4 linked regions of the Mus musculus genome follow. The protein of the gene in region 2 purifies or fractionates together with the protein of the main gene of each other region. This does not show direct contact. Links are inferred from orthologs where the notes say so. Each region holds a gene or a part of one and is shown on either strand. Other genes may lie near its edges. The genes, in order: Ing3, Epc2, Mbtd1 and Kat5.

Evidence for each region.
Region 1: the proteins of Epc2 (region 2) and Ing3 purify together in Homo sapiens (affinity purification with mass spectrometry; 3 studies listed by BioGRID and IntAct, with this or other methods). This does not show direct contact. The link is inferred for Mus musculus from reciprocal best matches to the Homo sapiens genes EPC2 and ING3.
Region 3: the proteins of Epc2 (region 2) and Mbtd1 purify together in Homo sapiens (affinity purification with mass spectrometry; 3 studies listed by BioGRID and IntAct, with this or other methods). This does not show direct contact. The link is inferred for Mus musculus from reciprocal best matches to the Homo sapiens genes EPC2 and MBTD1.
Region 4: the proteins of Epc2 (region 2) and Kat5 purify together in Homo sapiens (affinity purification with mass spectrometry; 3 studies listed by BioGRID and IntAct, counting the BioPlex papers as one, with this or other methods). This does not show direct contact. The link is inferred for Mus musculus from reciprocal best matches to the Homo sapiens genes EPC2 and KAT5.

What each region holds. Positions count from the first base shown.
Region 1 is NC_000072.6:21,947,969-21,953,312, reverse strand, and holds the start of Ing3 (inhibitor of growth protein 3), read right to left. Parts: upstream 3,699-5,344; 5' UTR 3,548-3,698; coding exon 3,520-3,547; intron 3,276-3,519; coding exon 3,204-3,275; exon of another isoform or gene 2,993-3,203; intron 1,185-2,992; coding exon 1,084-1,184; intron 1-1,083. UniProt on the Homo sapiens protein: Component of the NuA4 histone acetyltransferase (HAT) complex which is involved in transcriptional activation of select genes principally by acetylation of nucleosomal histones H4 and H2A.
Region 2 is NC_000068.7:49,544,758-49,549,291, reverse strand, and holds part of Epc2 (enhancer of polycomb homolog 2), read right to left. Parts: intron 3,584-4,534; coding exon 3,447-3,583; intron 1,847-3,446; coding exon 1,687-1,846; intron 862-1,686; coding exon 528-861; intron 1-527. UniProt on the Homo sapiens protein: May play a role in transcription or DNA repair.
Region 3 is NC_000077.6:93,930,381-93,935,102, forward strand, and holds part of Mbtd1 (MBT domain-containing protein 1), read left to right. Parts: intron 1-1,432; coding exon 1,433-1,515; intron 1,516-1,839; coding exon 1,840-2,074; intron 2,075-3,500; coding exon 3,501-3,578; intron 3,579-4,722. UniProt on the Homo sapiens protein: Chromatin reader component of the NuA4 histone acetyltransferase complex, a multiprotein complex involved in transcriptional activation of select genes principally by acetylation of nucleosomal histones H4 and H2A.
Region 4 is NC_000085.6:5,606,452-5,611,964, forward strand, and holds the start of Kat5 (histone acetyltransferase KAT5), read right to left. Parts: upstream 3,644-5,513; 5' UTR 3,579-3,643; coding exon 3,567-3,578; coding exon of another isoform or gene 3,468-3,566; coding exon 3,401-3,467; intron 3,294-3,400; exon of another isoform or gene 3,081-3,293; coding exon 3,012-3,080; intron 2,922-3,011; coding exon 2,785-2,921; intron 2,534-2,784; coding exon of another isoform or gene 2,507-2,533; coding exon 2,351-2,506; intron 2,262-2,350; coding exon 2,187-2,261; intron 1,879-2,186; coding exon 1,804-1,878; intron 1,514-1,803; coding exon 1,265-1,513; intron 1,190-1,264; coding exon 1,100-1,189; intron 1-1,099. UniProt on the Homo sapiens protein: Catalytic subunit of the NuA4 histone acetyltransferase complex, a multiprotein complex involved in transcriptional activation of select genes principally by acetylation of nucleosomal histones H2A and H4.

The sequences.
Region 1 (5,344 bases), on a different chromosome or scaffold from region 2:
GCTGGAAATAAAATCTGGTCTTCTAAAAGAGTAGTCAGTGTTCTTAATCATTGAGCCATCTCTCCTGCCCCAATTTTTACAGCAAAACTACAGCCATAGAAAGGATTCTGATCTGTAGGTTTCTGCTATCCAATTGGTTGACAGCTCTAGTTTTAAATTAGGTTATCAATTAATACCACTCAAATTATAATTTATATTTCTCCATATTATTTTTAAAAACCAAAAATTTTCTTTTCATAAAAGAAAAAAGTACCCTATGTGTTTCCACAGACAACTAGACTTTTGGGGGTATGTTCAAATTGTGCTGCATGAAAAACTTCTAGTTGAAAAGGATGGCTAGTGAACTCTAGGTTAACATACGCAAGCTCTAACCTCCTTCATACCTGGGCATTTTTACAAGCCAGGACCACTTCTCTTAGGAAAGCTGGTTTACCCCCTCCTAACAGACAATCTTCCTTACAGATGGAAGAATAAATAACACAATTGAAATTTTCAGTTCCAAGATTAATGTTTCTGTATATCCCTGAAAACTTTATATGAAGGTTAGGCGTAAGGACTTATTCTTCCTCATGTTAAAAGACTTGACCCAGGTCACACAGCTACATGGCAGTGAGGACCAAAGCCAAATCTTTGAAAGTTGTGTTCCTAGACACCACTAAAGAAAGACACCAGATCCCACACACACACAGCACTAGTGAGCTTATCTAATCTGTAATCTAATCTGCAGGACAGCCTTAAGGCCCGCAGCACTAGCTAAAATAAACTTCAGCAAGAATTACAGGAAGCTCTAAACCAGTGCTTCTCTACCTTCCCAATATTGTGACCCTTTAACAAAGGTCCTCATGCTGTGGTGAGCCTCGGCCATGAGATTATTTCTGAATCGTAATGTGTTTTCCGATGGCTTTTGGTGACCCTGTGAAAAGGTCATCTGCCCCTTGAGTTGAACTGCTGGTCTAGAATATACCAAGTGCCCCCAAGTCCCTCATAAGTGCCCTCACTCCATATCCAGGTATCTACGTAATGTTACTATCTCTCCTAGAGGGTCCCAATGTGACTGCCAATTATCCAAGGCATCACACTTACTTTTTTGATGGATGCCATCTGTTCTTCTCGCCACTCGGGTTTATTCTTCTTTGCATTCATAAAGAACTCACTGACTCTTTGTTCTAGTTGATCCATTGCATCTGACACAATAAAACATTTCATACTTAGCCGACCAAACTGCTTTGATTTGAGGAAAAAAAAAAGACATCTGACAACTCTGTTTTAGCTTATACACATTTTGTACTATAAGCAGTGGTGCCTTCATTACATTAGTTTTTAAAAAGCTGAAATATTCTGTACTGACTTTGCTATTTCAAAACATTTTCCAGTAATCAAGGTAGAGTGAATTGTACAGACAAGGATCTACGCCACAACCCGCACTGAAATCAAAGTTAATGGCATTAAGTCAGCTGGTTACGGCAATCAGAGCTGCTTACTAACAGTACTCCTGGGACGGTCTCATACTTCTTTTAATAAAAATAGTGATGACAGAGTCAACACTTGCTCCATAGCACCAAGCACCTCATCACGTCCTCTCACAGGAAGGGATAATATATGTGACCGTTGCTCACCATTTATTCACTCAACACACATGCTATTTACTCTATGTAAGGCTTCGCCAAAGCCCAGGTCAAAAATAATGACCTCAGTGGATGGCTGCTAAAAAAATAAATAAAAGGGGTTTTGTTGTGATGGAAATGGAGAAAAAATTGCCCACTATATTTATCATTTAAGCAACTTCAGAGCAGGATGGCTTTTTACAAAAGATGCTGAGATGCTCTAGTTAATCTTCATTTTTAAAACACAATTTACTTTCAGCTACTTGCTGACCTTAGACATGCTGATACTTTTAATGCCTACTCACTTTGTTTCCGAAAACTCCAGGATTACAAAGTAAGTAAACTTGAAAGCACTGTCATATGAATAGATTAAATCCAAACTATCCCAGAATTTTAAAAAAATTGAATGATTGACAATGTTTTAAATTATCCTTTATTCTAAACCTATTTGTAATGGGCATTATACATCCTAATTATCTGTATTAGTTTAAATCCTCAGAAGACTGTCAGTTTTTAAAAAAAAAAAAAAAAAGCAAACAAGCCCCCCAGGCAGCAAGGCTGGAGTTGTCCTAGTCGTCCTGTCCAAGAGTGAACCCAAATCTGTCTGCCACCAAACTCTACTCAATCCCTCTGGAATGTGCTTCGGCAGGTGTTTACTACTGCAACTACCTTAAAGTCAAAGAGAAAAAGCACACCTATTCCAGTCACAGATTTATGAGAGGCTATTGGGCAATGCACCCCAAGAGATGACCCAGAGACTGAGATGAGAAAAGTACAGTCAGGGACAAAAGGTACAGAAATGAGGGGCAGGGGCGGCAGAGGCTCATGAATGAAGAGAACAAGCCCTTAGCAAACTCAAGTTACCTTTGAGCCTCTTCCAGTCTGGCTTTTTCAAAAGAACAAGGTTCATTTTGGAAATAAGTCACATATAAAGCTGCCAAGCACTGACAGAAAAAAAAATCAATGCTAGCAATGCCTGAAAAGCCAAGCACTAGGCAGACAGAAGCAGGAAGATGAGGAGATTAGAGCAAGCCTAGGATTATTATACATATTGAGTGTGAGACCAGCCTGAATGACGTGGTTGTGTTTACAAAACAAGAAACCAGTAGGGAAGCCTATCAAACGTCTACAGTTTTCTAAAGAGCAAGCGGGTGATTTCCTTAAAATCTGATCTCTCTCACTCATTTCTGGCTGAGAAAGTGTCCACGCTGTTCACAGCTCTAAGTGTCTTCCATTAATATGCAACTTGTCAAAGTTCGGCCTTCCGAGTTCACTAGGGTCCCTAGCCTGCCCTTCTATGTCTTTGCTCTGGAGAAATTCGGAATGTAATGAACTTTTAAGTCTGAATGCAGAACTCCAAGTTTCCACATCCAGGCTCGGGTGCAAACCTTCTGAAAATCACGCGAGTTTCCACTGCGGTGCAGTGTCGTCATCTCCATGCAGTACACAAACAACTGTGTTTGCTGTGCCCCGCGTGTTAACGGTACGGTGTGCCCGCCGCCTCCTTGTCACAGCCTGAAAAAAGTAGCGCGGAGGACCCGCCAGGCGATGCCCGAGGGAGGCCGGGGCTGCGCGGGGCCGTGGAGACGCGCCACTTACTCTGCACCTGCAGATCCATCTCGCGCATCTCCGTGAAGCGGTCCCGTAGGTCCATCGGAAGCTGCTCAATCACTGTCAAAGGCACAGTCCGTCAGAGGGCGGGGCCAACGGCGAAGGGACGCGCTGGCGTCACGCGTGTGTGCGTGCGTGCGTGCGTGCGTACGGGAGGGGGGGCGGCTCACAACGAGGCTGCCAGTTACCGTGAGAAAGAAACATCCCCCGCTCCCCCTCCCTCCCGCCATCCCGCCCGCCCGGCCACTCGCGCTCCCGCCCGCCGCCGATCCCGCCCGCCGCGTCGCCGGCGCCGCGCACTCACTTTCCAAATAGTCCTCTAGGTACAACATCGCGGCCCTGACTGTTGCGGGGACGAACGGGTCCAGGGGTTTATTTGTGTCACTCGCTGTCGCCGGAGTTTTGTCCCTTCCAATATGGCGCCTCCGCTAGCAGCACCCGCTCGACTCCGGCAAAGGAAAAAAAAAAAAAAAAAAGCAAAGGAAAAAAAAAAAGGCTCCACTTTGGCGCCTGACGGCGCTTGCCTCACTGCCGCCCGCCGTTGCTATTGGCTGTCTGCAGCGATGACGTCAACCGGCCGGTGCGGATCTCCGCGGTATTCTGGGAAATGTAGTCTTCTTTTTCCCCGAGCGTGGCCATTAGTGAGGGTGTCTCTTGGAGTGGCAACTACAGAAACCACACGCCTGCGCGAAACGGGCACGCCAGAATCCGAAATGCGGTGCCTCTGTTTATTTGTTGATTTCTTACATGGGGGATGACGGGAGTTGTATGCGCCTGCCTGACACAACTAGGAACAACTTTTCACCTGTTCTGGGCGGTGATTCTAAGCCCGCCGTTTGTGAGTCATGGATTTCTGGCTGTGCTAGGCAAATAGCAAAGATTCCAAACGCTAGAATAATCGGCTAAGTTCGGAAAATTCAGGTTGTTTAGAACAGAACTCGCTGCTGGAATTTATCTTCATTATTCACTCCTGATAAATAAATGGGACAAGTGATTGGTGTCCCTGCAACGTTAAGATAATTTATAGTGAGACTGGAGCGAATGTGCATTTCCCAAATTAAAAGACACCCAAAATAGTATTCAGTAGCCAGTTATGTTTTGCGGTGTATCTTGTGTTCATTGTAAAACAACTGTTCAAATGCATCCGCAATAAAGTAAATAAATAGATGAATAAATAACAACCAACCATAAATTATAGTGATTTAATGCATTGCTGGCATATACTAACAATGATTTAAATTTATGTTGGGTAAGTAGCTGGGTTAATGTTTATAGTTCTGGGCAGGCTTTTTTAATAACCCTAGCAAATGTTCACTGGTGGTATAACAAGTGTATCACCGCCCCGTTTCTATCTTAAAAATGCCTTTCATAAAAATTCGTACACTAAATGCTTCTGTGTTTTGGGGAAAATGATCCCTTCTTAGACTATCTGGTGGATTATAACACCACACACCTGTAATCCCCTAAGTGGGAGAATTGAGACAGGAGGATTAGGAGTGTGAGCTTTGGCAACATAGGCAATTAGAAGCCAACCCAGATTATGGAAGACCCTTTCTCATACAAAAGAAAATAAATCAGTATGACACATTTTATTCACTACTCAATATTTTTATGTTACAATTTTATTTACAATGACATACTTGTATTCTCTTTTGTCTTCTTTTAAAGCCATTTTCTTATTACTTGAATGTTAAATATATTTAGTCTACACCTGTTTAATTTAAATTTTGTACTAAAACTATTTATCTGTTTGTGCTCTTTGTTCAAAAGCAGCCACGTTTGTTTACAGTGCCTAATTTCATCTGTGTTGGGGTTTTTAACTCTGAATTCACTTTTCCAGGGTTATAAATATAGAGAAATTTCACTGCTGGAGTTAAAATCGAGTTTTGCTAGAGAATATTAGCATTTGACTCTGCAACTTTGCTGCAAGACACCATCAAACTTAGGGTCAAATTAAGTTATGTAGTTGAGGTTTATTCTATTGCACCGATAGATTGAATTGGAACCTGTAATGAAAATACTTCATTATATACTCTCAAGGGAGACTTTTTCTTCCTTATTGGCCTCTTAAGTCCAAGACAAGCATGTTTTCTTAGTGGCCTCTTATATGAAAAGAGTTTATTGCTCAC
Region 2 (4,534 bases):
ATGTATTCTGCTGGTATCCTTGGGTAGCAGGTATGTACACAACGCACACACACATGCATGCATGCTAAACACTCGGACACATAAAATAATAAATATAAAACATTTTTAGTAAGTTTAATAATTTTAATAAAATTTCCTCTGTGTATCTCTGGCTGTCCTGGAAATTGCTCTGTAGATCAGGCTGGCCTTGAACTCTGAGATCTTCTGCTTCCCTAGTGCTGGGATTAAAGGCATGTACCACTACCACCTAGCTTATTTAAATAAAAAAAATTTAAAACATGATGAGACTGACTGAAGTGTTTAAAATCAGTCAATTTGACTTTTTTATGCTTTCTTTTTTTACAACTCTGGTTGGCATTTAAGGATGCTACTAGGCAAAGAGCTTTTTTGTAGCAAGCAAATCCTCAAGCTTTTGAAAAATCAAGTCTGTCAAAAGATATAGTTGAGCAGCACAAAGTCAAAAGGGCTTCTCTTGATTCAGGACAGCTAGAGCACAGCTCAGGAACAGTACCCACTCGTGCACACACCTGGCTATGCTGCTGATGGCACTGCTGGGAGTAACCTTTGGCACTCTGTCCATGCTGGCAGCAACTGTGGCAAGTTTTAAGGCTGTTGGCGATGGTGCTGAAGTCCGTGTATTGATATGCACATTGACAGGAGAAACAACACTGACGTTATTGAGGTGCACTGCATTGGTCAGGCAGGAATTGTTCATGGGAAGTGTCTGAGGACTGCTTGTGCACAACGCTGGGATCAAGTGGTTTGTAGTAGTGTGGCCAACTGTCCTTACAAGCTGTACAGCTGAAATCCCTGGGCTGGATGATAAAGCCATATTGGTGGAATATAATGTTTTAGAGGGTCCTGCAGAAGAGGGAACAATCACTCAATTAGTGTGATGAGACAATAAAAAAAAGTTTAAAAAAATCAGGAACTCAGTAATAAAATAAATGTACTCATATTCTAATTAAATAAATATGAAGCTAACTTTCTATATCACAGTCATATAAGGAGATTTCCAAAGCATTTTGCTCCCTCTGTATGTGGCATTTGCTCCCTCTGTATGTGGCAACTCTGGAGATAAATACAACAGGACAGATGAAAATGATAGCTGTGTTTTCCTAAGGATTTATAGGCACACAGGATCAGCAAGGGCAGACTACAGAAAGGGGTAAAAAACAAAGTGATCCTGAGTACATATAAACAAACCCAGAGAAGTCTGAGCTTGGGAGCTGTGAGAGGACCAAGCAGCACGTCTTTGGGGTCGGGCAGTAAGCAGCAAGTGGCTTTCACAGCTGCAACGTATCAGAGGAGGAGTGGGGGGAAGTGTCTTTCTGCATGTGCACGTGGGATTGCAAACCCGACTTCAGACTTTTTAACAGACTGTGCTGTTTTTATTTCACTTTATAAACAATTTATAGATGATCCAATAGGGGTGGTTAACAATGAACTCAATGGCTTTCCTAACATGTGAGGCAACTGAGAGTCATGAATGGAATCAGAATGGATGGATAGGTAGATAGAAGGTACAGTGAGAATTCTGGGAAACACTCAGCTATTCATTTGTATCAGTCCAAGGCATTCTGAACAGCACTGTATACATTTCCCCTGTGTATATGAAAAAAATCAAACCCAACTTGATGAGTAGCAATTTTAAGTTAATAAGTATTACAGAAACCCGAGTTGTACCTGAAGGCTGGACAACACCATTCATATTGTTGTGGCCAGTGTTCTGTTCCTTGGATCCCTCACTGCGACTTGGAACAGGAGCACTGACCACTGCAGATGCAGCAAAGTGGGCGCTGGCTGAGTCAAGTGTTTTAGACATACAGTCAGAGGTGCTTGAGCCCTAAAAAACGGATAGCAGCACAGTTCAGTTTTCCACATCTATTTATCTATCTAATCACTCTCCATTTTTCTGCATGTGTTGGGGTGGGGGAATAACAGCATGTGTGTGTGTGGAGGTCAGAGGACAACTGTCAGGAGTTGGTTCTGTTCTTTCACAATGACAATTCCAGGGATCCAACTCAGGTAGTTAGACTTAGCAGCAAGTGCCTTTACCTGCTAGGCCACCCTGCCAGCACCCTATACTCTGTTTTGTTAGATGTGATTAATGATATTAAGAAATGTGTGGCACTCAAAAGGATATTGCCATTCTAATCAGACATAGTCATAATACGTTTTTAGATGAGAGATTTAAGACTTCAGAATTTTTTGGTATATGAAGCATGAAAATAACTAGAAACTAGAAAATAATTATTTCTGAAAAAGAACTATCAAACTGAAAAACCCATGCTCTATTAATCTTCTTACATAATAATAAATACTTTAGAAACTGCTTGATGAGTAGACACTGGATGACATGAAATCCCAGCCATGACTCATAACCAGTCTATCACAATGTAAATACCTAGACGGACTCAGCTTTGAAACAGTCTGCAAACACTTCAGGGTAGTTACCTGAAGAGATTCAAAAACACCAAGCCAAACGAAGTACAATGGCCACTCTTCCACGCTTCTGTGTAGAACTGGCTGGTACTAACATAGATAGCTGCAGGCTATAAGCCAAGTCCAGATCTACCAGTACTGTCACAGGGGTGTGGCTCATCAAGATTTCCATGGTGTCAACTCAAGACTTTAATGTAAAAGGACAGACTCTTGAGGATGAACTAAAGCATTGTTGGTAGACCTTGGTCTGAGAACTCAAAGTGTGTGACTGAATGGTGTTAGTCTTAGTTATTACAGAGATTCTTGCTCTTTAAAATTATGGACAACAAAATTTCAGACCTTAAATGTGAAGTTTATTTTGCCAATTCAACTTTGAGACTAAGTCCTTTTATTTTTGTTTTGCTTTCAATGGCCTAAAGCAACAGTACCGTGTTCTTGTACAGTTCTAGCAGCCACGGCCCACAAGGAGTCTCCCAAGGCTCATCTCAAGGTTTGCTTTTGCTGGGTTGGTTCCTGCAGTCTTTTACAGCATTTTCACTTTTATCACTTGTGTCTGTATTTATGGATGTCTAGGAACTTCTGGTGGCACGTGGCATTTCTTTTTCCCTTCAGGGAAATGTGATTCACACAGGCAAGGGGGCCTGTGAAGCTTAGATTTACCACATAATTTAACTGAATTCCTTCTCCTTCTAAGCTGTACTGACATAGGACTTAAGTATAAACATGAAGAGGTTAGAAAAGCCATATTCTTGAAAAAAAATGAGGGGGGTTTAAAAAATAGCTAATTATTTTATAAACTCTCAACAATCCTTCTAAAAACTAGTAATTCTTCCTAAACAAAAACTACCACATTTAGCTCTCAAATAACCAGACTAGTCTAGAAACTAGCTATTCAGAAATAGATAACTTAATAAAAGAAAATCTGGGTTAATTCTCAAACTCGGGGACAGAGGAGCAGAGTCACCTGTAGGAACGTGAGAAAGAGGACAGTGAAAGGTCACCTGTGCTTTTGGATGTGTCTGCTGTGAGGAATGCTGGGATTGTTGTTTCTGATGAAGCTGCGCAAGTTGCTGCCTTTGCATTTGAACTAGCTGCTGTTGATGTGTCTGAAACTGCTCTTCTGTGATGCCCCCTGTTACTGATAAAGGATAAAAGAGTATTAGAGTACTTGTAGTGACATAAGCAGAATACAACATAAGCCTGTAAAGATGGAATGCAAATACAAGCCACAACAGACATCTGCAAAGTAGAATCCCAATGGCGAATCTTTCTGAGTGCTCTATGTTCATGTCCACAGTCTCCTTTGTTCCTATGCAGTTTTTAACTGTATAACACGATGGAATTGAAATCTGTTTTTGAATTTTTGTGTGTTCTTTTAAAATGTTTATTTGTGTGTTTAGCATGTGTATGCGTATCACAATGTATGTACAGAAGTCAGAGGATAGAAGTCAGTCATCAGGCTTGGTGGCAAGTGTCTTTCTTTACTCACTGAGCCATCATGCTGGCCTCAGCTTTGCAGTCTTTCTTTAGGATGCCCATGGAATAACAGTAGTAATAATAATGATAAATATATGCATTTACTACTGTAGATATAAATAATAATCAAGTTACAGCCTTAATAAGAGACAAGTGACTTCTGCTGGTTTTTATGACACTTAAGTGAAAATATTTTCTGTTCTGATTCTAAATTGGAGTAGAAAACAATCACATTCAACAGCCATAAGCCCCAGTGTGAGCCAGTGTAGTCAATGTCTAAATAAATTCTATAAAGTAAGGGCTGGGAAGGAGATATTTTAAGAAAACTAGAGTTATAGTGGACCCTTCAGGTGCAACCAACAATGCTCTGAAGAGTGTACGAAGCTATGGGTTTTAAGTAAAAGCAATATCCCTGTTTTCTTAAGCTGACAGAAGGATCAGTTCAAAGAGTTACAATAGGTACTTTTTTTTTTTCTCAAAGAAATGTAAATGAAATTTCATGAACTCATATTTAAGTGATGAGCCAATATAGCGAACACAAGGTATTTTCATAGAAATTAGCACTCATTTTGAATATAAGTCTCCAGAGACACCAGAATACACATACTCTTAA
Region 3 (4,722 bases), on a different chromosome or scaffold from region 2:
GTTCCTATATACATTTTTGTTTGTTTGTTTGTTTGTTTGTTTGTTTTATTTGGGGTTTTTTTGTTTGTTTGTTTTTTGGTTTTGGTATGGGTGTTTTGCCTGTGTGTATGGTCTGTACCATATGTATAGTCTGGGTGCCTGGTGCCTGAGGAGCCAAGAAGAGAGCATCAGAGCCCTGGAAACGCAGGTGCTAGAAAATGAGCCCTGTTTTTCTGGAAGAGCAGCCACTGGTCTTAGCTCCCACATGAACTTTTTAGTATTTTAGGTATTAAATAGTATTTTAAGTGTCCACTTAATGGATACTTAGCCTTCAAAGATTAAAAAAAAGGCTCTCTCTTTTTAGATTATCATATGCCTTTTAAAAATTGGGGGGGCGGGGGTGGTTAGGAGGTTTTGGTTTGGTTTGGTTTTTAGTTTTTCAAGACAGGGTTTTGAGACAGCCCTTGTTGTCCTGGAACTCACTCTGTAGACCAGGCTGGACTTGAATTCAGAAATCTGCCTGCCTCTGCCTCCCAAGTGCTGGGATTAAAGGCGTGCGCCACCACCACCCAGCTTGTTTGTTTTGTTAAGATATGATTTCCGTATTCTTGATAATCTGAAACTTATTATATAGATCATACATATTTTCCTGCCTCTGCCTCCAGAGTGCTGGGATTAAAGGTGTGCACAACTACACCCAGCTATCCATCTTTTAAAAGAAAGTTATTTTTTAAAAAAGAAAGTTATGTTTTTAGCAACTCCCATGATTTAACCACTGACCTTTAATACCTTTACCTTGGGTTTTTCTCTAAGATAGGATTCAAGCAAAAAAAGATTTTTTTGAAAGTGTAATTCAGCTAATTTAGTTTCCTGAAAAAAAAAGAGTAAAAGTGTTAGACTGTCCTAAAACCTAGTATTGCAAGTTGTAGCTCTTGATTGGTAGGAGCACTTGCCTACCATGTTAAGGCCCTCAATTAGATCCCCAGTGGTGCGCGCGCGCGCACACACACACACACACACACACACACACACACACACACACACGCACACACACACGGCAGAAGTCTGTCCTTGTAGAAAACAAAAAAAGTCACATTTGCATTAAAATAAGGAGGCATACACATGTGTCTGCAGGGGAGCATCTTCATAATGTGGTACCAGAAGCTCTTCATATCACCAAGTAAAGTAGCACGTCTTCAATCCATGCTTTGAAGTGGAGACAAAAGGACTAAGGAGGAGGTGTTTACCTTCTACTACATAGCATATTTAAGGCTAGCCTGAGCTATTTGGAACCCCAATCTCAAAAATAAAAATATATCTTTTTAAGATCTCAAATGAAAAGAAATTACCTTTACCACCTAAAATCTGAGGTTTCATGTACTAAAGTTACTGACATCTTAAGGTTATGTTAATTTTAAATTAACTGTTACCTAAACCATTTGTATTTTTTTAGGTTACACAAAACTTCCTTTTAAATGGTTTGACTACCTCAGGGAAACCGGCTCCATTGCAGCACCAGTAAAACTATTTAATAAGGTAAATGTGAATGGTAGCATGATCACGACATAAGAGTGGAAATTTTTCTTGAGTTAATGTTCTTTGGCTTGTATTAGAATTTCTTAAATCAACAAAATTTTTCTTAGGAAAAGAAGCAAGTTTATAAACATACTTTGTGTGTGTGTGTGTGTGTGTGTGTGTGTGTGTGTGTGTGTGTGTGTGAGTGTGAGTGATGTGTGCACGCATGTGTGTGCCATGTGGTGGGATAACTGAGGAACTGTTGTGAGTTTTGGGAAATGATTTCAAATGTTTCATTTGTGTCCTTCTGAGTACCAGTGTTAATACTTTATTTCTCTGTATTAGGATGTTCCAAACCACGGATTCCGTGTAGGAATGAAATTAGAAGCTGTAGATCTCATGGAGCCACGGTTAATATGTGTAGCCACAGTTACTCGAATTATTCACCGTCTCTTGAGGATACATTTTGATGGTTGGGAAGAAGAGTATGACCAGTGGGTAGACTGTGAGTCCCCTGACCTCTATCCTGTAGGGTGGTGTCAGTTAACTGGATATCAACTACAGCCTCCAGCATCACAGTGTAAGTTACTATATAGAAAACATGTTCTTTTATTTTACAAAAAAAAAAAAAAAAACCTGCAAATTCTCCATAGAACTATCTCATATCTCAGAGGGCAAGCTCACAGGACAAGAATATATCAATGTCTGATGAGTTGCCAGGTAAAATCCCAAGACCCAACAATATCACAGAATTAGACTGTGTATGCCATGGCAATGTGAACTCCATATTGGTGACATAAAAGTAAAATAGAAAAAAACAGAAGTTACCAAATTAAACTACACTACTGTTGAGCTGCATATTATAGGCTGAAAATGCATTGTTCATAAATGCTGTTGAGTAAATAGTAAGGCTCATGGGTTTTTTGTTAGATATTTTCTTTATTTCAAATGTTATCCCCTTCCCTAGTTTCCCCTCCGAAAACCCCCATCCCCTCCCCTCACTCCTTGTTCACCAACCCACCCATTCCTGATTCCTGGCCCTGGCATCCCTCTATACTGGGGCATAGAGCCTTCACAGGACCAAGGGCCTCTCCTCCCATTGATGACTAACTAGGCCATCCTCTGCCACATATGCAGCTGGAGCCATGAGTCCCACCACGTGCATTCTTTGGTTGGTGATTTAGTCCCTGGGAGCTCTGAGGTACTAGTTAGTTCATATTATTGTTCCTTCTATGGGGCTGCAAACCCCTTCAGCTCCTTGAGTCCTTTCTCTAGCTCCTCCATTGGGGACCCTGTGCTCAGTCCAATGGATGGCTGTGAGCATCCACTTCTGTATTTGTCATGCACTGGCAGAACCTCTCAGGAGACTGCTATATCAGGCTCCTGTCAGCAAGCACTTGTTGGCATCCACCATACTGTCTGGGTTTGGTGGCTGTATATGGGATGGATCCCCAGGTTGGTCAGTCTCTGGATGGTCATTCCTTCAGTCTCTGCTCCACACTTTGTCTCTGTAACTCCTTCCATGGGTATTATGTTCCCCCTTCTAAGAAGGAACAAAGCACCCACACTTTGATCTTCCTCCTTCTTGGGTTTCATGTGGTTTGTGAATTGTATCTTGGGTATTCTGAGCTTCTGGGCTAATATCCACTTATCAGTGAGTGCATACCATATGTGTTCTTTTGTGATTGTGTTCCCTCACTCAGGATGATATCCTCCAGTTCCATCCATTTGCCTAAGAATTTCATAAACTCATTGCTGAGTAGTACTCCATTGTGTGAATGTACCACATTTTCTGTATCCATTCCTCTGTTGAGGGACATCTGGGTTCTTTCCAGTTTCTGGCTATTATAAATAAGGCTGCTATGAACATAGTGGAGCGTGTGTTCTTATTACATGTTGGAGCATCTTCTGGGTATATGCCCAGGAGTGGTATTGCTTAAAGAATGATGATCTTCATAAAAGATTGTATAATTGTTCTGTTACCAATGTTCCCTTTTATTTTTCAGCATCAAGAGAAAGCCAATCAGCTTCTTCAAAACAGAAGAAAAAGGCTAAGTCTCAGCAATACAAAGGACATAAGAAAAGTGGGTCACCATGTGTTTGCATATATTTTCTAATTGTTAAACAATTAAGGTCACAGTATTCTTGCACAGAAAATTACATCCCTGTGAGAACTGATGTATGTTCACTATGTATTATGCTTAAAGGTGCAGTATGACATAAAAGGCAAACCTTCTTGATACTAAGAAACAGTTTTAATTGACAGGAGAAATAATCAGCTGGGCATGGTGACACACGCCTTTAATCCTAGCACTCGGGAGGCAGAGGCAGGGGGATTTCTGAGTTCAAGGCCAGCCTAGTCTACAGAGTGAGTTCCAGGACAGCCAGGGCTACACAGAGAAACCCTGTCTCAAAAAAAAACAAAAAAGGAAGAGAAAGAGAGAAAGCAAGGAAGGGAGGGGAGAAAGAGAAAGACAGGTATTCGTTATCTGTGTGTTTTCAAGCACACAGCTAGAGAATAGAGCCTTATAATGATTCTTGAAATAATTATAGACCTACGTAAAGTTAATCCCTTTTTAAAACTTTAATGAAGCAATAAAACAGTGCTTCATGCTTACAGTAGCTGTCATTAACTCTCTATCTGGAATGATAATCCTGAGAAATCCACACTTATTAAGAAGGGCTGGGGCCGGGTGTGGTGGCGCACGCCTTTAGTCCCAGCACTTGGGAGGCAGAGGCAGGTGGATTTCTGAGTTCGAGGCCAGCCTGGTCTACAGAGTGAGTTCCAGGACAGCCAGGGCTACACAGAAAAACCCTGTCTCAAAAAATTAAAAAAAAAAAAGGCTGAGGACACAGTCCGGGTAAAATGAAAAAGTGGAGGCTTAATGTGCTGACACACTGCTTTGGTCCCAGCACTGAGAATGCAGAACCAGTCCATCTCTTAAGTTTGAGATGAGTCGGGTCTATGGAGCAAGTTACAGAACAACCAGAGCTACACAGAGAAGCCCTGTCTCAAAAACAAACCCAGTAAGGTGAAGAATACTGTGTCTCCAAATGAAGAACACATTCCTACATACATCCATGGTGTATCACAGACACACAACAGAATGAGAAAACGATCAGAGTTGATGTCTAACAAAGTCAATGTTTTAATGCTTTGTGTAACTGTAAATTATGATTGTCATTATTAGCCACAATAATAATCGTACTTTTCACTGCCGTAATAAG
Region 4 (5,513 bases), on a different chromosome or scaffold from region 2:
AGCTTTGCAACTGCTGGTCTTCCACTCAAACACCGCACTTAATGCAGAACGACGTGGAGCTTTGTTTCTTCCTCTTGAAGAAGCTCCTCTTCAAGGCAGCTCCCAACCCACTCCAGGTAGCTGCCTCTCTCCCTCTGCACCCCGGAGGCCTTAAAAAGTGTGCATCTCAAGGACCTCCACACTTGTCACCTAGAGAAACCCAAACCTGCTCCTCCCCGCTGATCTTGTGCCTATCATCTGACCTTTGACCTTCTCTCATCACCTATTCTTCTCCATTTTCTTTTTGCATGTACTTCCTGGTACATCAGTGCCTGCATGTCTGAACCCAACTGCTTAGAACTATCTAAGTATGTTCTCTCAGCTATCTCCAGGCTCACAGGTTAACCTGCAAACTATTTCAAAGCAGATCTGACTGTATTAGCCCTGGCTGGCCTGGAACTCCCTATAAACCAGCAGAGACCCACCTGCTTCCGCTTCCTGAATGCTGGGAATAAAGGATGTACCAGCACACACAACCAAAGATCCTTTTTTTATTTGGTTCTGAGAAAAGACCTTACTATGCTGTTCAGACTATCCTTGAATGTCAACTCCTCTAGCATCAGCTTCCTGGATGCTGTGATTATAAATGTACCACCATGCTGGGCCAAACTGTTCTTTAAATGCCTCTAGTTTTATATTTAACCTTTGCTGCCTCACTTCTTTTTGTTTTTTGTTTTGGTTCCGGATAGGTCTTTCTTACTTTATAGCTCAGGTTGGCTTGCAACTCATTAGTCCCCTGACTACTCTTGAACTCGGGAGTTTTCTGAGTGCTGGGATTATAGGCACACACACCTCCAAGCTCTGATGACAGCTTCCTGTGAACTGTGCTGAACCCCCTCTGTTACTGGAACCTGAGTAGCTGTCATGTCTGCTCTGCCGTGACAGTGACCTCTCAGGAAAGAAAATTTCTCTAAATCCCAGTTTTCTGTACATTCCCTGCTCCGTGTCAAGAATTCAATAAAAACAGTGACCTGCTCATAGGCAGAATGGTCAACTGTTCTGAGCAGGAAAAGGTTGTTCATGTGACTCACTCCAGCCCAGCCGTGCCCAAGCCACTAACCTTGTTTTTCCGTCCATCAATCTCAAAAAAGGAGATGGTGCCCTTGCGGTAAATTTCATTGCCTGGAGGGTGCCGAAGATCACATTTGGTCTAAGGACAAAAGGAGGATCAGGTGGGGACTGGTGAGGGTACTCTGGATAGGCAGCCTCCCAAGACCCCTCATACCAAGTGGCGTTGCAGACACTTGAGGCTACGGCCATATTTGAGGCAAAATTCGCACAGGTAGAGGACGGGTAGCGTGGTAAGCTCTTGTGGGTACGGGGAGAAGTACCACGGCTTGAGGCGGTGCCGGCCAAGCTCAATACACTCAATGTTCTTCATCCGGGTGACAATGTCGTCGTGGCTCCGGTCAGACACCAGACTGCCAGTCATTCGTGGTGCTGACGGTATTCCATCTGAGCTGTCCTGAGAATCCTGCCCAAGGCAGATGGCAAATACTAGATGGTAGCAGTTAAGCAGAGCGTGGCGCACGACACTGCCATTGGCTTCTTCCTGCAAGTCTAACATCAGCTAAGGGCAAAGCACCAACCTCCACTTCCAAAATAAAGCGAGGCTGAGAAACTGAGAGTAGAAGAGGCCCAGGGGTTCATCTGCTTGGCTCCCAGCCACCACCCTCCCTGCCTAAGGCCTCACCGAGTGAACACCATGCCCAAGCCCACTCCCCCTTTCCCGGCTTCCCTCTCCCTCTGCTCCTCAAGACCCACCTCATCAGTGCCCAAGCAATTAGATTTCCGCTTCCGTCCAGGCTGGGCTGCCACTGCCCTACGGGCTGACCCATTCTGTGGACAAGACACAAGAGAAAGAGCGACCGTGAGATGATCCTGGAGGAGGATGCTAGACAGCAAGGAATAAGAGGGGAAAGACCAGGCAGGCTGTTGGGATGGCTCAGTGGTTAAGAGCCCTGATCTTCCAGAGGACTTCCTGGGTTCTTTTCCCAGGACCCACAGAGTGGCTCACAACCATCTCTAACTCCAGTTTCAGTGGCTCCAATGCCCTCTTCTGCCCACCTGCACCAGGCATGCAAGTAGAACACATGCAAAACACAGACAAAACATTCAGACACATGAAAAAAGACTGGAAGACTCACCTGAGGGAAAACCGAGGCTGGGGCTGTCTCGCTGGGCACTGGGGTTGCTGGTGAAACCACCTCCACCTTCCGTTTCTGCAGAGAGAAACCAGGAAAGGTGGGTCAGAAGGTAGAGAAGGTGGGACCTGAGAAGAAAGCAAGGTCCCTGGAATTGCTGAGGGTACCGTTGAGCGGTGGTTGGGTTGCAGGCAGGAGCTGGAGGAGAGCGGCTGGTCAGGCTCGCCACCTGGGATGGCCTCCCGCTCCTTGGGCAGGTTGAAGCGGAGTGTGATCTGGACCGGGATTGGCAAGGTCTTCCCGCTGGCCTGGGCGGAGGCCGGCTGCAGAGATAGGTCCAGGGTCTTCCTCTGGGGTGGGGATGGTGGTGGGATGGCGAAGGGGGGGATGGGCCCCTCAGCATGGAATCCCACCCTCTGCCTTCTCTAAAGCAAGGCAGTGCTGGACTCTGGAAGCTACGCCTGCAACTTGGTCCCCATCCTTTGCAAGCTGAAGCCATGGCAGAAGAATGCTGCCTCCTGCCCATTCAGGAACCCCTGAGGCCAAGAGATGCAAGAAGGAAGAGGCAGGAGAGAAAAGATGAAATGGGGGACCTACTCACCACCTCTCTTTCGGGAGAGCCGGGGCGGGACCCAGGAAGTCCGTTCTTGGTAGGTGTCTTGGCCTCTTTCTTGGGAAATTGGATCTTCTTTAAGTCCAGCCGCTCGTGAGTCACCCATTCATCCAGACGTTTGTTGACTGCAGCAGTGAAAACGGCTCAGGAGGGAATGCCAGAGGCTGCCCTCAACCCTCTCCAGCAACCCCACTCCATCCAGGCCCAGGACTCACAGTCAATGTAATGGACATAGAAAAGCTTTCGGCCACTGATGTCCTTCACGCTCAGGATCTCAGCCAGGGCTATGAGAACCACACAGACAGGGAGTCTTAGCCAGGGCAGGTCAGGAGACTCCACCCTTCGACCTGAATCCCACCTCCAGGCTGGAGGCCTGTGTCCCAGCACTCAGAGGGGCTGGTTCAAGACCCCTTTAGTCACCAAGTGACACCTCTCTCCAAGCCCCGCCCGGATCATCTCCGTACGTCCAAAAGCCACGCCCCTCCTCCCGAGTATCTGCGACCGCCCCGGGATTGCAGAAGCCCCTCCCCCTCCCGTGCGATCGTTGACTCCCTCCCGCCCCTCGCCCTCAGGTTCCTTGGACCCGCCCCCCGACGTCACTCACGCCACTCATCTTCGTTGTCCTGGTTGCGCCGCAGCACGGGCAGGCGGCAGCCCTCGATTATCTCCCCCTGGGGAGACAGCGCGGCGCCAGGGTCGGCTACTGGGGGGCCTCGGGCTCTACCCACCTCCCCTGGCTCCCTCCGCCCCGCCCCGGGCACCGGACTCACCACCTCCGCCATCTTCCCTCCCTCCACTGCCACTTCCGGCCCCTCTGGGAGACGTCACTTCCGGAGCTGAGTGCGCTATAGGCCCGAGCCCCTTGAAGCTGTTTGAAAGGGAAACACTTGAGAATCACTGCTAGCTGGTTGGTAGCAAAAAGCCGGCCCGTTTGGGGAATGGAAGAGCAGGACGTTGTAAACCTGAGGCCAAGTACTAGATGGAATCCCCGCTCCTCGCACAGCGATTGGAGGAACGCCGAGTCTGTCACGTGACGCCCACCGGGTGCGACGCCGGTCACTCAGATCATGTTTAGGCTTTGTCTAGAGGCAGTGTTCTGGCGAGCCTCTTAGTGGCAGTGTGAGGTGTCACCCTGAGTAAGAAGCTAAGGAGTGGGGTTTTGAACCCTGGGGAGTCAGTAGACCTGAAGGGATTTAGAGATCCACCCAGGTGTCTGCATAAGATTGCACAGGCCTGGGGGCTTAGCAAGATTTTTCCGTTAATACTGGATTTCTATTTTTAAAATAGTATATATGTGGCTGTATACATGGAAGGTTCAAAATTCCAGTAGGCATTCAGTCAACAAGAATGGATGTCTCAGTTGGTCTTCATTATACATCAGAATCCCAAAGAAGTAGGCGCTAATGACAGTGAAGGAGCGGACTTGTCAACGAGAGTGAGAGCAAGTAGGCAGAGTAAAAGCAGGCTGGCAGTGGAGGCAGAAGCAGGCGAAGCTCTATGAGTTGAGGCCAGCGTTGTCTACAGAGTCAGTTCCAGGACAAGCGGGGTTACACAGATAAGCCCTGTCCTGGGGGTGGCAGGGAGGAAAATCTTGTTTCATGTCTTTCTTTTAGTTTCCAGCAGAAGGTGCATCTTCTGACTTTGAATAACAAGAATAGGTTTGAATAACAAAGGTGTGTTCTCCCTCCTCAAAGATGTGAATTCAAAGTGGATCTTCCACCAAGCCAGCTTGCCAGCACTGGGGAGGCAGAGGCAGGCCTGGTCTACAGAGCAAGTTCCAAGACACCCAGGGCTACACTGAGAAATCCTCTTAAAAACACAAAGCAGTGGGTTTTCCCACTTCAGAGTAGGCAAAATTGTTCACGTATGTGTTCTTCCATTTTTGGGTTTTAGTGAAATCCAGATGTAGTCAAATGGACAACCAAAAATAACTATCACAGATATTGATAACATGCCTAAAGGGTGTAGTGGGGCCCTTTAGCCTTACTTCTAAGTGTTCCCAGTTTAAATGGTTTCGGGTCCATTTGGCCACTTTGAGAAGAGTTTATGTGCAGAAGTAAAGGATTGGTTTCATCACAGGAGCATTAATAATAACACTTGGATTTGATCTGTGTGCAAAATATGTTCAGCATAAGAAGTACTGAAAAGCCAATAGGCCTTTTGTTATTGTTTGTTCTGAGGTGAAGTCTCACTGTGTAGCCCTGCTTGGCCTGGGACTTGTCACAAGGATGACAACAGGCATATGACAGCACACGGCATTTTTCTCTCTTGTGAGTTCTGAGTTGTGCCATCTTTCAGAACATCCAGTCTTCCCCTGAGGAACTGAAGCATCACCACTGTTACTCACAACAGCCTCACAGGGGTGGAGCCATTGCTGCTTCCTTGCTTTGGCTCCGTGAGGCTTTTTTTTTTTTAATTTATGTATTTTATTTTATTTATTTATGTCTGTTCACCTGAGTATGTCATGCACCCATTACACACAGTGCCTGTGAAGGCCAGAAGGAGGCATTGTGGGTGCTGGGAACTGAACACTTTTTTAAAAAAAGATTTATTTATTTATTTATTTATTTATTTATTTATTATATGTAAGTACACTGTAGCTGTCCTCAGACACTCTAGAGGAGGGAGTCAGATCTTGTTTCGGATGGTTGTGAGCCACCATGTAGTTGCTGGGATTTGAACTCCTGACCTTCAGAAGAGCAGTCGGGTGCTCTTAC